Linked DNA regions of Coturnix japonica. The protein of the gene in region 1 interacts with the protein of each later gene in a pairwise test. Links are inferred from orthologs where the notes say so. Each region holds a gene or a part of one and is shown in the gene's direction. Other genes may lie near its edges.

Region 1 (2,318 bases):
TTCTCTGCCAGAAAAAAAAGAAGGATATATCTACACTGGCACCAATTCTCTATTAACATTGCAGGTATATTTACAGTAATGAATATTCCTGGGTGATAAAGAGATCTTCATGTTTATGTGCTATCCTTTGAAGAAAAATATATAAACAAGTTAGGAGAGTTTGGCTACTTTTATTAACTCCTTATAGTTTAAGTTATCCCAATCTCTTTAAAGCCCAAGAAGAGCGACGTGCTGCTCCCTCCCACTCATGTTAGAAAGGGATAAATCATTCTCTCCACAGGGAGAAAATATGAGGGTGTGCTCTGTGTTCTCATCAACCCACCTGCCATTGTGTTTGGTTTTGGTTTTCCTCCTTCTTACTGGCATGGTGGCAGCGTGTTTCCCTTCTCCAACACCCCTTTTGTTCACAGGGAGCCGGTGGATGAGGTGCTGCAGATCCCCCCGTCACTGCTGACATGTGGGGGCTGCCAGCAGAACATCGGGGACCGCTATTTCCTGAAGGCCATTGACCAATACTGGCACGAGGACTGCCTCAGCTGCGACCTGTGCGGATGCCGGCTGGGAGAGGTGGGGCGGCGGCTGTACTACAAGCTGGGCAGGAAGCTCTGCCGGAGGGACTATCTCAGGTATGTGGCCTCCCAGCCCGCTTCTCATAGAATCATGGAATTATGTGAGCTGGAAGGGACTTTAAATGCCTTCTGGTCCAACTGCCCTGCAATGAACAGGGACACCTACCCTAGATCAGGTGCTCACAGCCCCATCCAGCCTGACCTTGGGTGTCTCCAGGGATGGGGCAACTACTGCCTCTCTGGGTGACTTATTCCACTCACCTTCCCTTCTTTCTATCATTTCAGCTTTGTCTATCAATTTAAGGTACAGCTAGTGAACAAAGAATCATGCATAATTCATTTTGGCTAATCTTAGATGTAGAGTTTGAGAATAATGGAGTTTGCTCGGTGCTGCTGCTCCCCAGATGGCTGGATGCTGGCTGAGACGTGTCAGTGTGGGGTACTGCCAAGCAGAAACTGGGAAGCAGTGATGAATTTCAGGGCCACCCTGCCCAAGCTGACTGCAAGCCAGCTCCTAAGAATGGCTTTAAGCAGTTCTGTGCCACTGCAGGCATTGCTGTGGAGCTGAAAGTTATATAAAAACAGGTGTTGAGATTGGCTACTGATGAAAGATCATTTCGTTCTCTCATTTAAGAACATGGTATCCAAGGTAACTGAATTTAATTCATTTTCTGATGTGGTAATGTCAGCCCCTTAAGAGACGCTTGATTCCACCAAGCAGTGGGACTTGTTTGGTTCTGAAATGACAGCCTTTTGTACGTGGATTGATCCATGTCTTTTTCTGCATCACTGGTAACTTACCGGAGGCACTTCAAGCAGAAAGACAGCATGTGCTGGATGTGTAGTGTGGAGCTGCAGCCAGTACAGGGAAGTTTGGTCCTGTTAAGTTGGACTCGGTGGAGTTCTCAGCAACATCTGCCTATCTGATTCGCCCTATTTTTTAAGTAAAAGGATTAAACTGGGAATAGTATATTTCATGAAACATCCGTAATAAGGGATCTCTATGTTCTCAGTTATAAGTGGGTCTTAGCTGTGCTGGCTGTATCCCATTTGTCCCATTGGATCCCTAATGTTGCAGGATGTTTGTGGAACAGGCTGAAGACATTGTATATGTTTTCAGCTACCTTTCTGAAGTCTACAAAAATTAAAGCAACATCTCAAAGGAGCTCCTAGTGATTGTGCTCCGGAACTTACTGATGGGAATTTCTCTTGGCAGAAATGGGACCACTTGTAAAGTCTCAGCAGACATCGTGTTCCAGCAATGAACCAGTGTTAGCTACACTTCCCAGATACTTGTCTTAAAAGGGAAGCAAGAGAAAATATGCCAGTGCAGTAATGTGTTTTCTTGCCATGAGATGGAATGTTTTTGTTTATTTAATAATATAGCATGATTTCTTCCATCATTAATGAGACATCTTGCAAAATTTGTGTAACCTTATTACTTTAGTTGGGCAGAAGTAGACACTGACATCTCCTGGTAGACTAAAGGAATGATGTCTTCTACCCTTAAAGAGCTCTCTGTAGTAGGTATTCCATTTCCAGTTCAGGATAAATGAAGCAGGCACAGAAGTGAAGTGTAGAGGGTGGACAAAATCTTTCTGTAATTAGTATGGATACATAGAATTCAAAGTCAATGTGTGTATTCTTTACACAAGTAATAGGATTTCTCCCTCCTTCTAAGAATATACGTGATAATCTTAGTGGTCTTCTCCAACCTAAATGATTCTATGATTTTGTATTTATACATAC
Region 2 (4,078 bases), on another chromosome or scaffold:
AGGGATCCAGCAGCCTTTCTCTGCTCACTGGAGCACTGCAGCCTCTGCCCATGGATGGGGCTCTGCTGAGGTGCTGCTCTGGGCATGGTTTCTTCCAGCAAAGGAGAGAAGAGAAGAAGCAATGCTTTGCTGTGGGCATTGCAAGTCAAAAACTGAGCCCTGCATTGCAATGGTGGGGTCTGCACTGTGATGGTGAGCCTTGCACTGTGATACTGGGGCATGCAATGTGATGGTGAGCCCCATAATGCAATGGTGAGCCCCATATTGCAATGGTGAGTCCTGTACTGTGATAGTGAGCCCCAAATTGTGATGGTGAGCTCCACACTGCTGGGGTGCTCAGCTCCTGCAGCATCACATCAAGAACCATAAGCAATAGGTGAACAAGGAACGCCAAGGGCAGACGTGTCTGGCCCATCTGGTGGCCTCCATTGATGGCATTGGTGGACAAAGGAAGGGCACAGGCTGCAGTTGTGCAGGGCCTTTGCACGGCCCCACACTGTGCCCATTTCTCTCAATAGGAGAGAGGTGGGTTTGAAGGGTGGGCTGTTTGGTGGGTAAGGAAGTGGTTGGATGGTCATAGCTTGGGATCTGTGGTCGTGGTGGTCCTACAGACCCCCCTGCGCTGCAACTATGGGGGGGCAGAGGGCAGGGAGGGGACTGTCCCGTCTGCTCAGCCCTTGTGGGGACCCACCTGCAGTGATGCATCCAGGTCTGGGATCAGGCTGTGGGATGCTCTGAGCTCTGAGCACCAAAGATCCTCTGCTATGGAAACGTGCTGATGGAGCAGCCATGGAGGCTCCGGGGAGACCTCACTGCAGCCCTCCAGTACTTGGGGAGGGGGCTTACAGGGAGGAGGGGGAGTGACTTTTACCTGCCTGATAGCAATATGGTGATGGGGAGAACTGGATGCCCTTTAAGGCCGACCCCACTCTAAGCCCTTCTCGCACCCACGATGCCCGCAGCAGGTGCGGGGCTCTGGGACACAGCGCAGACCCCAGACCCACGGAGGGTCCCACGGAGCGGGGTCTGAGCGGCACCGGGTCGGGATGGGTGGGCGTGGGGGGGGCAGAGCATCACGGCTGGGGGGGGTAGGAAGGAATTGGGGGGGGGGGGGCAGCTGGGCGCCCCCCCCCCCCCCGATCCCGGGGGGGGGGGGGGGGGGCGAGGGGGGGGGGGGGGGGGGAATTGGGGGGGGGGGGAGCAGCTGAGCGCCCCGCACCGCCCGGATCGCGGCGGGGGCGGAGACGGCCGTGGGCCCGCCCGGCCCGGGGAGGCGGCGGCGGGGCGGCAGGTGGTGCCGAGCAGCCGCAGGACGGAGCGGATCGCAGCCGCCATTAGACAATAGGCGGCGGCTCGGGGCACAGCGGCGCGGGGCGGCCGCGGGGCCGGGCCCGGCGCGGACAAAGGCGGACGGGGAAAGAACGGAACGGAGCGGAGCGGAGCGGAGCGGAGCGGAGCGGGGCGAGGGGACCGCTGCGGGCGGTGGAACGGGCTGCAGCCTGACATGATGTTTCCACAAAGCCGACACTCGGTACGGCGGCACCGGGAGGAGCGAGGAAGGAAGGAAGGAAGGAAGGAGGGAAGGACGGGGGGGAGCACCGAGAGCCGCCCCCTGCCCGCCCGCAGCCACCGGGAACCGGAGCGGGGGGTGCGGGTGACCTTGGGCGGCGGCGGGCTGCGGTGGGGGGGCGGGCAGGGCTGCGGGCCCCCCATTGGGTGTGCAGCGCTGTGTGTGTTGTTCAAGGGCTCCTCTCACCTGCCGCAGCAGCTCAAGTTCACCACCTCCGACTCGTGCGACCGCATCAAGGACGAGTTCCAGCTCCTGCAGGCCCAGTATCACAGGTACGTGCCGGTACCGCCCCCACCGACCGCCCCGAGCATCCCGGGGGGGTCCGCAGTGCGCCCGGAGCTGGGATCCTCCGCTTTGGCATCGCTGCCCTGCACGGACCGGGACGCAGCGTGGCCAAGAGATGGGCTCCGTGCGGCACGACGCGCTGCCCTCCCAGCCCAGCACAGGTTTACCCCCAGGCTCAGCCTCCCCAGGCCGGTATCACCTCCAGGTCCCACCTGGAGGACCGATGTGAGCATCCCAAGGAGGGGGGGGGGACGCCCGGTGTGCACCCATTGCTGCCTTCCTTTCCTTTGGCCACGCAGTTCGGCCCAGAGTTGGCCAAAAGCTGCAATCCAGGCAGGGAACGCTCTGCTCACTGCCCAAAAGGTGGGATTCTGGAAGGAGAAGGAAGGAGAACGCTCTGCCTCCCCCACAGCCAGGTCTTACCCCAATGCAGGACTCCATGCACAGCTCTTCCATCCCTCCATCCATGCACAGCTCTTCCATCCCTCCATCCATGCACAGCTCTTCCATCCCTCCATCCCTGTGCAGCTCTTCCATCCCTCCATCCATGCACAGCTCTTCCATCCCTCCATCCCTGTGCAGCTCTTCCATCCCTCCATCCATGTGCTGCTCTTCCATCCCTCCATCCCTGTGCAGCTCTTCCATCCCTCCATCCCTGTGCAGCTCTTCCATCCCTCCATCCATGTGCTGCTCTTTCATCCCTCCATCCATGTGCAGCTCTTCCATCCCTCCATCCATGTGCAGCTCTTCCAGCCCTCCCTCCTCTCGCTGGGAGTTTTCCTCCCCTCTCCCTGCTGGCTGCCATTCTTGGCTCACAAATGCTGCAGGGAGCACTTAAAGCCAAATGCTTCCGCTTTTCCGCCTGCGGAATGGCTTCTGCTGACCCAAAAGCTGGCTGCCGATGGGCTCTCTTGCTGTTTGCTTCCTAGCTGCACGCATGCACCAAACCATTGCTCCGTGTGTTGCCCTTTCCCTATTGCTCCCACCTCCCCGAGCTCTGCATCGTGCAGCATTGTGGCCCCCCCTTGCAGGACCCGATCTGCTCACAGAGCAGCAGGTTTGGTGGAGGTGAAGCTGTTTCTTGTTTGAAACATAAAACCAGCACATGCTGCTTGCAGCTGCCGGGCTGGGGAGCTGCACAGAGCACAGCGAGCAGCACGTCTGCTCTTAAGGGTGCAAAGAACCCAAAGGAAAGGGGGAAAAGGCATCATTCCAGAGGCCTGCACTGCACCTGGGCTTCCCCAGTATAGGAGGATCTGGTTGCTTTGCTGAGCTGCACTGGGCACACAACAGGCTGGGATGGACCCTGCAGGATGCAACCCAGGATGCAACCCGCTGCCCTGCTGCTTCTCTCACTGCTTTCTGCCTTTGCAGCTTGAAGTTGGAATGCGACAAACTCGCCAGCGAGAAATCGGAGATGCAGCGTCACTACGTCATGGTGAGGAGCTGCCGGGGCAGCGCGTGGGTGGGGAGCAGGTGCTGCTGCTGCTGGGCTCGTGCAAACGGGGCTCCTCGTGCACACAGGGCTCCTCGTGCAAACAAACAGAGCTCCTCGTGCTCTGCACCCTGTGTGTGTGCTGGGTCGGTGGGTGCAGGATGGACATGCAGGGTGTGAGCAGGGAGCTGCTGTCTGTGTGCAGAGCTGCTCTGCTGCTTGAGCAAACTTGGAGTGCTCAGGAATTGACTTCCCGTGCCAATAGCTTGCACTGGAGCTGCCTGTTGTGTGAGGGGGGTGGGTTATTTTGCGTGTGTGTTTCCTGCAGCTCCTTCCCAAGCAGCTGGAGCTGTGTGCAGCTGGAGCACAGGGCTGAGCCCTTCCATTTGCTGCCGGAGCAGCCACGTGGGCGTTAGGAGATGGGCCAGGCACAGCAAACAGAGCCGGGCTGTGCCTGTTCCCAGCAGAGCACTGAGCTCTCCCTGTGATGCCAGGGCTCTGTGAAGGTGCTGAGTGGGCTCTGGGTTAGTTGAGGTCCCACCTGGGCTGGGGGCAGCAGGAAGGTACAGATGTGGGGGTCTCTTTGCATGCTGGAGTCCTCATCGTGTCTGTTTGTTCTCTTCTTCCCCACTCCGCAGTACTACGAGATGTCCTACGGGCTGAATATTGAGATGCACAAACAGGTATTGGGGGGGGTGGGCTGCCTGCTGTGCCTTCTGTCCCTTCAGTGGCATTTCAGGATGTCAAACGTCAGCACTGATTTTGGGATCTCCAGCTCTGGCATTGGG
Region 3 (3,988 bases), on another chromosome or scaffold:
AAGAAAACACACCCCACTAATGAGAACGTGTCCCTGTATGAGATGAGGGTTCAAAGAAAGGAAGTAAATGGCAAAAAAAACAAGAAAAGCAAGTCAAAAGGGACACTCTCACATGCTGCTACAGCAGATGACATCTGCTCTCCAGCACTTTTACTAACAGTGCTTACGCTTTCACTGGGTTTCACAGCTGCAAAATCAGAAATAACAGGAAAAGAACCCAACAGCACTGTGCTGTGCTTTGTGCCCTGCCCTACTACCACACGGTTTCAAATTCAATGTAAAAACCTATTAGCTACCATTTTCCTACTGGTTTGATATATAAAGAACTCAGATTCATACCAGTAATCAGGGCTACCAGACAAAAACTTACCAGCACATCTTCTATTTACCCATCTCTTCTACCAGCTAAGAAGGTTTCCCTGTTTGAGGGGAGCGGGAGATACAAACTACAACCAAAAAAGACCCAAGCACTCCCCATTAGGTTTATACACTTTACTGACCATTCACAAACACTTTGGAACACTCTGGTAAATAACTCAGCCTACCCAAAGAAATTGAGTGTATTTTCTCTATGCATCAAGGAAGAATGTTCATTTGGCAAACTCCTGCCTTTCCAGAGCCTCAGGATTTATCTTCTAAATAATCTTCATAGGGGAAAAAAAGAAGCAACAGAAAAGAACCCAGGTTTTAACATAAGCCAAGATTGTCTAGAGTTACTTATACCAACACAGCCCTACATGTCCTAACAAGGCAACGAGCTGCAATAAGGATGAAATGTGAGATAATGAAGCCTCCATATCAGTTATTTACTAGGATGAAAGCTCTCAGCCGGCCAAACACCGGGCACAATTAAAACCCTCAGCTGTTATTAAGCAGACCTCCATCCAAGTCTCTGTCTGTTGGACGGAAATCTGGGTTAATTTATTAACAGCCCGAGATACGATTGTACAGTCTATCAATGCAAACAAAGGCCAAGATGGCGGCGCTGTGCCTGTGGTGTCGCTTTCGGTTTCGCCTTCCCGCCAAGCGGCCCGTTCCGGTCGCAGGGAGCCTTTCCCAGAAGTCACGTGGTGCAGCGCCGCCTCACAGCGCCGTCACTACGCATGCGCAAAGCACCACAGCGAGTCCCAGAAGAAACGCGGAAGAAAAAGTGAAGGGGGCGGGGCTTAGGGCGGCACCGCGCGTGCTCATTGGCCCGGGCGGTGTGGGCCGGGCTCCTATTGGCCCTGCGGTGTATCCCCATGGCCGCGGCCGGGAGGGTATTTGTGGGAGCGGGGAAGGGGAGAGAGCGGAGCGGGACGGGTAGTGCCAGCGGGTGAGTACGGGATGGGGTGGGGGTAAATTAGCATCTGATCGCCGTTATAGCCAGCTGTGAGCCTTGGAACCATAACCTGGGGGGTAGGAGAAGGCTGGGGGGGACCTGAGAGCGACCCGCTCTGCGAAGGAAGGGGATATGCTCTTCAATAGGGTCTGTTGTGATGGGATGAGGGGAGAGATTGGAGCTGAATACAGAGAGACAAAACTGCTTCTAAAGAATCTCAGCAATATCAACCCTAATATTCAAGCCAAAAATCATATACAAAAAGAGAAAAGAATCAGACTCACCCAGCTGATGAAGGGGCTCCCTGGCAATGCAGCACTCCTATACGAAGCAGCCCAGATCCAAACGATGCTCTCTCTTCAGTGGCTGGTATTTATATGAGCCATAGGGCTCCACTCTCAGCCCACCCTCCTGCTCAGCTGGGAGCACAGGTGAACACTGTCTGTACTCCCTTAGGCAGACACAGCCCTGACCTATCAGCTCCCCTGTAAGCAACTACAGTACAGTCACAGTGCTGATACTGATTGAGAAAGGAGCGTGTATGGAGGGTAAAAAACGCAGCTTTTCATAGGGAAGAGTGTTTGAAGTGTTGACTGACTTCTGTTGATGCAATTAACAGTCTTAATTGGCAGCTTTTGGAATTCAAAGCAGCGCAGAAGATGTTAAGTGATGTTTTGATCGTTCAGTGATTCCATTTCACCTCAAAACAGAACGTGCTTCTGTTCCAATTTCCTTCCGTTTTACCGTGACCTCCAGATTTATGGGTTTAATGAAAGCCTGGAATGAGTCATTTTGCACCACTTCAGCTCTAACGGTACCTTAAGCTGCTTTTATTCCCCGCTTCCCAGGATGACTCAGTGGTATCAGCTACAACAACTGGACTCCAAGTTTTTGGAGCAAGTTCACCAGCTGTACGATGACAGCTTCCCTATGGAGATCAGGCAGTACCTGGCACAGTGGCTGGAAAACCAGGATTGGTAAGCATAGAAATTGACCTTTGGGTTATAGGATAATAAACGTTACACAGAGAGGGACAGGTGGCAGCAGAGTACTGGGGAAGAAAGCTGCTAGGGACGTGGGGACACCTATGCTGGTAGGATGCTTTGAGAGCTGTGCAGCTCATAGACTTGAGGAGGGGTGGGAATCTAGTCTGTGTAGGGGAGGCCTGATGTCTAGAGTAACAATTGCCCCACTTAATGTTTTCTTTAGTTAATCTCAACCAAAAGCAGGTGTTTTAAGGCAGTCAGTTTGCCTGGCACCTCAGGCTCTCACCATTCACAGACTCAGAACTGTTTTCCAACGTTCCTATGGAGTGTTGTTTAGCACTGCATGGTGTGTGTATGCATCAGGGTCACTTCTAGCTTCCTGATGCACATGGAAAGGGTCAGTGATGTCACACAAAACGTGGCAAAGGCAGCACAGAAGAACAGCAGTTCTCTATTGAGGAAAGTGAAGCAGAAGGTGAGAGGATGAGGCTGACGTGTTTGAAAGCAGTTCTTCCTGCTCACGTATATTACAACTGGAGCTGGGGATCAATACAACGTTCTCTGTAGTGCATTTTGAGTGCTGGTTGAAAGCATTTAACACAAGCATGCTTGCAATTTATTCTAGGGAACACGCGGCCAACAATGTGTCATTTGCTACGGTGCTATTCCATGACCTGCTGTCACAGCTCGATGATCAATTTAGCCGATTTTTGATAGAAAACAACTTCTTGCTGCAACACAACATAAGGAAAAGCAAACGTAATCTTCAGGTATGCCCAGGCACGTGTTTAAATACCTTTGGTGCTGGAGTTGGATGTCCCCAAGCAGAATATTCTGCCCTGAGGGATTTTCCAGAGAGTATTCGAGAGCCTTAATTTAACAAGTCAGATTCCAAACGTGACTCCATTTTTATTTTAACTTGGCTATGGTTACAAAGTTACTTTCATTAACAGTACAAGTTATGGTTTCTGAGAACTCAAAACCAGAAGTTGCTGTATGCAAGGGTCTGTAATAGGAGCATGCAAGGAGCATGTAATTGGAGTACCTTAGGGAATGCAGCTTTGCTTACCCCAACCCTTCCCAGAGCAGTTTCTTGTCTCAATAAATCACTGATGCAGAAGAAACACAGGAGAATAAATCCTTAAACATAGCTACAGAACCACAATAAAAAACAGGGAATCTGTCACTTGTGTACATCACATTATTCTGACAAAGAAAAGGATGAAGCAGTGGGTAGTGGATAGCACTGCAGAATCTATTTGTGGTCTCCATTACTTCCCTTGTCTCTGTGTTCCCAAGTGGCAGCAAATGTCCCTTCTTTATCTTCCCAAGTGAAAGCAGCACCTGTCAAGCTATAACTCCTCTTTAAAAACTGCAGCTATGCCTCCAAGGTGTGGAGGTGTGGCTCTCAAAGCTGTCTCCAGCACTACAGTGTAAAACAGCTTACTCTGTGCCTTCTTACAGTAACATCTCCAGCCCTATGTCATTGTTACATGACAAGTCCCATCAACTCTTTGTACCCTAACAAAACAAAGTAATACACCAAGCAGAGAAACTGCTTCCTAGAGCTGGCTACAGTCCATGTAGTCTCAAAGCAAGATACAACTCGGGCTTAACCCGACACATGTTATTCTTGTCAGTTGATTTAATGAAATACAAGAGATTACACGTATTAAGTTTA
Region 4 (3,971 bases), on another chromosome or scaffold:
GCCTATGCAACCATTCTCACTGAAAGAACAACCACTTTTCTGGCTGGGTATCTCTTATATCTGGCCAGGGTTTGAAAACCGTGAGCAGTAGGGCTGTCCAAGCATTCAGGGATGAGCAATTTTGGTCCTGCCCTTTTCTGAGCTGGCCAGTCCCGCTGCTGCAGGCACCGTGCTGACCAGGGGATGCCAGGCAGGCTGTGGGTAAGCGATGGGCTGGGGACGCAACACAGAGAAGGAGCACTCTGCAATTTTCCAATGCAAATTACATGGAAATTAGGCTGCTGTAAAGCCAAAGGCCCCTCTGGAATAGGACCTTTAGTTAACATAACACTTGTGCTAAATGAAGCGGTTGACACAGCTTTCAGGCTGTAGTGCCACTGTTAATTCACCGCGTGAAAGGGCTGAAGCTTCGGTTGAGCTCCGCGGGGGAGGAGCTGCCCCGCCGGGACTGAGAGCAACGCTCCTATTGCTGGGGCAGCCCTCTTAACAGAGATGTGCAGCGCTTTTAACAGCCCTCCGTGCGTTTGTACCAAGGCTGCGCCTCTGTTGGCTTGGGTCTGAGGAAATCCTGCGACTGTTTTCCCACAAAGAGAACCGTTGTCCAGGGGCACAGGACAAATCAGTCTGCGTTACCAACAAGGGGATATGACAGTGGTGTTCAGAGGTCTTCTCAAACATCCCCACACCCTCTGACCTTCTCTCTGGAGATTCAGCCTGATGGAGAGAGGGTCTGGGCTACATCAGGACCCCACAGCATCTCCTCTGCCGGCCCCGTGCTGAGAGGCAACCCTGCACACAAGGCTCACTCCTCAGTCCCTCCTTCCTGCAGTATCAGCCTGTGTTCTGTTTCTTGCAGTCATATGTGAGCTTGTGGGCTGCTGTCACTGAGCTGAGAGGGTGTCCAGAAACATTTGCAGGCTCAGAGCTGATTAAATAAATAAACAAATACATATTTTTAAGGGAAATAATTGATTCTTGCCACAAGAATTCCATTTTTTCCTGACAAAGTACATCTGACCCAACCAGAGTTGTGCCTGGGATAGTGGGAGCAGTCCCCCCTGTCTCTCCATTAAGAGGCAGAGTGGTGTCAAGGAAAGAAAAGGCAGGACAGAGAAAATCTCCTGGGAGATGCAAAGCAAGCTCCTGGATTGCTAGGACCAGTGGTGACACGCGCCAGACAAAGGACCTGCTATTCTATAAATGAGGCAGCCAGGACCAGCACTAGGCTGACTCCATCCAGAGAGAGCGAGCTCTGCAGCCAGGCACGGTGAGAGCTGCTGCAGAACGAGAAAAGGACGTGCCTGATTTTGCTGTCCCTTCACCCGCTGACCTGGTTTGCTGAGCCTCAAGCACCTGTGACCAGAAATGTAAGTGACAATTTACTTGTCTCTGTGCAGAACTGCATCCCATCTCCCGGGCTTACCTTGCAACTCTCCTAGGAATGCTGATGTTTCCTTTCTGAAACACACAGCGGGAAATATCATTCAGAGAAGGAATTTCAGCGATTACCTTTTACCATCCCCTAGATTCCTCTTTATTTTCTTGGCACTTCAGAATCTTGTCATCAAAAAGTGAATAGTAAGGCACGTTATCTGACGGAATAGTTGCAGAAACGGCTGCGTTTAGTCAAGCAAAGTAACTGTATTCCCCTAATTTTGTGCTGGGAATTTCCAATTCTTGGCATCCACTGAGAAGACTCGGTGAATCAGCCTCATGCCAGGAGAAATTAGTTTTTGTTTTTGACTGTTTTGGAAAGAAACATTCTTACATTATGACCTCACTATTACACATTAGGCAAACTCATTTACACCACCAGAAAGTGCTGTAAATCAGTTGTTGCATTCAGAGAAAATGATTGTATAGAACATTGTGGGCTCCCTGAGGAACAAATGAATTCTACAGTGTTTGATACTTGAACCAAATTATTTGTGAAAACATAGAGAAGCATGCACTTGCCAGAATTTGTTGTGTGATTATGAACTAGATAGATTGTATGGAAAACCTATGAATGTGTAAACAAATAAGGACGTAAAGAAAGAGCTCCAAACTTCAGTCCTCACATACTTAACAATGTCCCACTGCTTTACTGGTTGTATGCCTTACGGCTGGTGTGTCTGCACTATACATCACATTCCAATTTTGTCCCAGCTCAGTAGTCTACTTGGCAGGAAAAGCTTAAGGACTTTATTCATTTAAGCTCAGGAGTCAAACACGAATAACTCTCAGATTTCAAAAATAAATAAATAAATAAATAAAAGATAAAAGATAAAAAATAAAAGATAAAAAAATAAAAAATAAAAAATAAAAATAATAAAAAATAAAAAATAAAAAGTAAAAAGTAAAAAATAAAAAATAAAAAATAAAAAATAAAAAATAAAAAATTTGAAACGGTCCTATACAGAACAGGTTAGTATCTCTGGGCTGATAGAGCCTTATTTGCCCAAGGTTGACAATAAACAATAAAAGCTTTTTTTTTTTTTTTTTCTTAAGTAGCAATCCCTATTTTTCCTGCTTTCCATGAAACAGTAAAGGATGACACATGGTTTTTAGAACCCTTCTCCACTGTGTGTCTATCATTTCAGACACACAAAACAACAACAACACTCCCCACCCCCCAAAAAACCCAGCCAAAATAAATGCAGCTTGCTCTTACTGCCTGTTTAAATATATTATTACAGTGGCTGCAGCACGAGCAGCCAATCCAGCAAATGAGAAGCTCCCAGTGCCAGCAAGCTTGGTGTATGACCTGGGGATGAAACCCAGATGCTCAAAAGAGACCTGTGGCCATGCAGACCTGAACGCTGACCTTCCTATCAGGAGCTGTCCCATGCAGGTTAGCAGTGTAACACCTGTGAGAAACCACAGTCCTTGTTTTGCATTGATTTGTATTGTGCCTCTGGAAGTGAAGCTTTGTTGTGGTGGGTATGTTTCTCCACACTTCTTCTAACCCAATTAGTTCCCAGTATGATGCCATGGTACCCTGTTTTAAATTGTTTTTGGTAGGAAGGGGACACATTGCACACAGATAATAATTTTTCAAACTTTTGGTCCTGCTCAAGTCAGAGATTTGCTATCAGCCTCAGAGCACACCTAGATAGAATGGAAAAGCCAAACATCATCTTGTTTATATTCTAAAATAGCATCATATCCACATTCTCCTGAGGCAAGTGTCCTTATGGCATTGTCCTTCTTCCCCTGCTTCTCACAGTGCCTTCTGACAGGGCCAGCTGCTGCAGAGTGATCTTTACTGAGCTGAGAGGAAGGTGGTATCTGACCACCCTCCATCTCTGCATGGTAGACCTCCAGTGAGGACTGCCCTATGTAAGGAGCCAGTAGATGATATCTGTGTTCAGCAGGGCTCCGCATACAAGTCTGGCAAAGAACAGAGTCCTTGAAGAGCTCCTGGAAGAAGATCTAGCTGGTTTTTTTTTGTTTTTTGTTTTTTTTTTCCCCCTCCATGTTAACCCTGTGGCACTGCAATAGTGTCCAGATGTAACGTTTGGGAAATTAACAGACACTGTTTTTAAATGAAACCCAGTGGAGCTGTAATTGAGGCTTTGACTCAAGAGGCCCATACTGGAGACTGGATGAGGAGGACATAGAAACTTTATTACAAATTGTCTCCCAGATCTCCTTGAATAGACAGTAACATTTGTGCAAGTTTAGCCCCCCCAAAAAATAATAATAAAAAAGGGTAGCTAGAGTTCCTGGGCAAATGCCCCTTTCTTTGCTGTGGTGCGCAGCAAGCTGTTGTGTCCAAGTCAACACAGTAGACATCAATTTAACAAGAACTGCTACAGCACAAGTGGCATCTTTGCACAGGGCTGTGGTGTAATTCAGTTTTACTGCAAAGGAATATAAAAAGCTTGGCAAGTGGGAATTTACAGGAAAAATAATCCTGTGTGCACAACATTTATGGCGTGGTGTCAACCTCATATTTTGCTCCCTGCCAAATGCGTGCTGGGTTACAG

Evidence for each region.
Region 2: the proteins of LMO2 (region 1) and TLE family member 5 interact in binary tests that used the Homo sapiens proteins (3 or more experiments, as listed by UniProt). The two-hybrid records come from large-scale screens. The link is inferred for Coturnix japonica from reciprocal best matches to the Homo sapiens genes LMO2 and TLE5.
Region 3: the proteins of LMO2 (region 1) and STAT1 interact in a two-hybrid assay, tested with the Homo sapiens proteins (2 studies listed by BioGRID and IntAct). The two-hybrid records come from large-scale screens. The link is inferred for Coturnix japonica from reciprocal best matches to the Homo sapiens genes LMO2 and STAT1.
Region 4: the proteins of LMO2 (region 1) and TAL2 interact in a two-hybrid assay, tested with the Homo sapiens proteins (2 studies listed by BioGRID and IntAct). The link is inferred for Coturnix japonica from reciprocal best matches to the Homo sapiens genes LMO2 and TAL2.

The regions. Positions count from the first base shown.
Region 1 is NC_029520.1:6,402,647-6,404,964, forward strand, and holds part of LMO2 (rhombotin-2), read left to right. Parts: intron 1-410; coding exon 411-626; intron 627-2,318. UniProt on the Homo sapiens protein: Acts with TAL1/SCL to regulate red blood cell development. Also acts with LDB1 to maintain erythroid precursors in an immature state.
Region 2 is NC_029543.1:645,298-649,375, reverse strand, and holds the start of TLE family member 5, read left to right. Parts: upstream 1-1,278; 5' UTR 1,279-1,504; coding exon 1,505-1,531; intron 1,532-1,744; coding exon 1,745-1,842; intron 1,843-3,229; coding exon 3,230-3,293; intron 3,294-3,928; coding exon 3,929-3,973; intron 3,974-4,078. UniProt on the Homo sapiens protein: Transcriptional corepressor. Acts as a dominant repressor towards other family members. Inhibits NF-kappa-B-regulated gene expression. May be required for the initiation and maintenance of the differentiated state.
Region 3 is NC_029522.1:2,025,102-2,029,089, forward strand, and holds the start of STAT1 (signal transducer and activator of transcription 1-alpha/beta), read left to right. Parts: upstream 1-1,188; 5' UTR 1,189-1,241; coding exon 1,242-1,315; intron 1,316-2,169; coding exon 2,170-2,298; intron 2,299-2,932; coding exon 2,933-3,077; intron 3,078-3,988. UniProt on the Homo sapiens protein: Signal transducer and transcription activator that mediates cellular responses to interferons (IFNs), cytokine KITLG/SCF and other cytokines and other growth factors.
Region 4 is NC_029547.1:48,944,694-48,948,664, forward strand, and holds the start of TAL2 (T-cell acute lymphocytic leukemia protein 2), read left to right. Parts: upstream 1-1,171; 5' UTR 1,172-1,367; intron 1,368-3,971.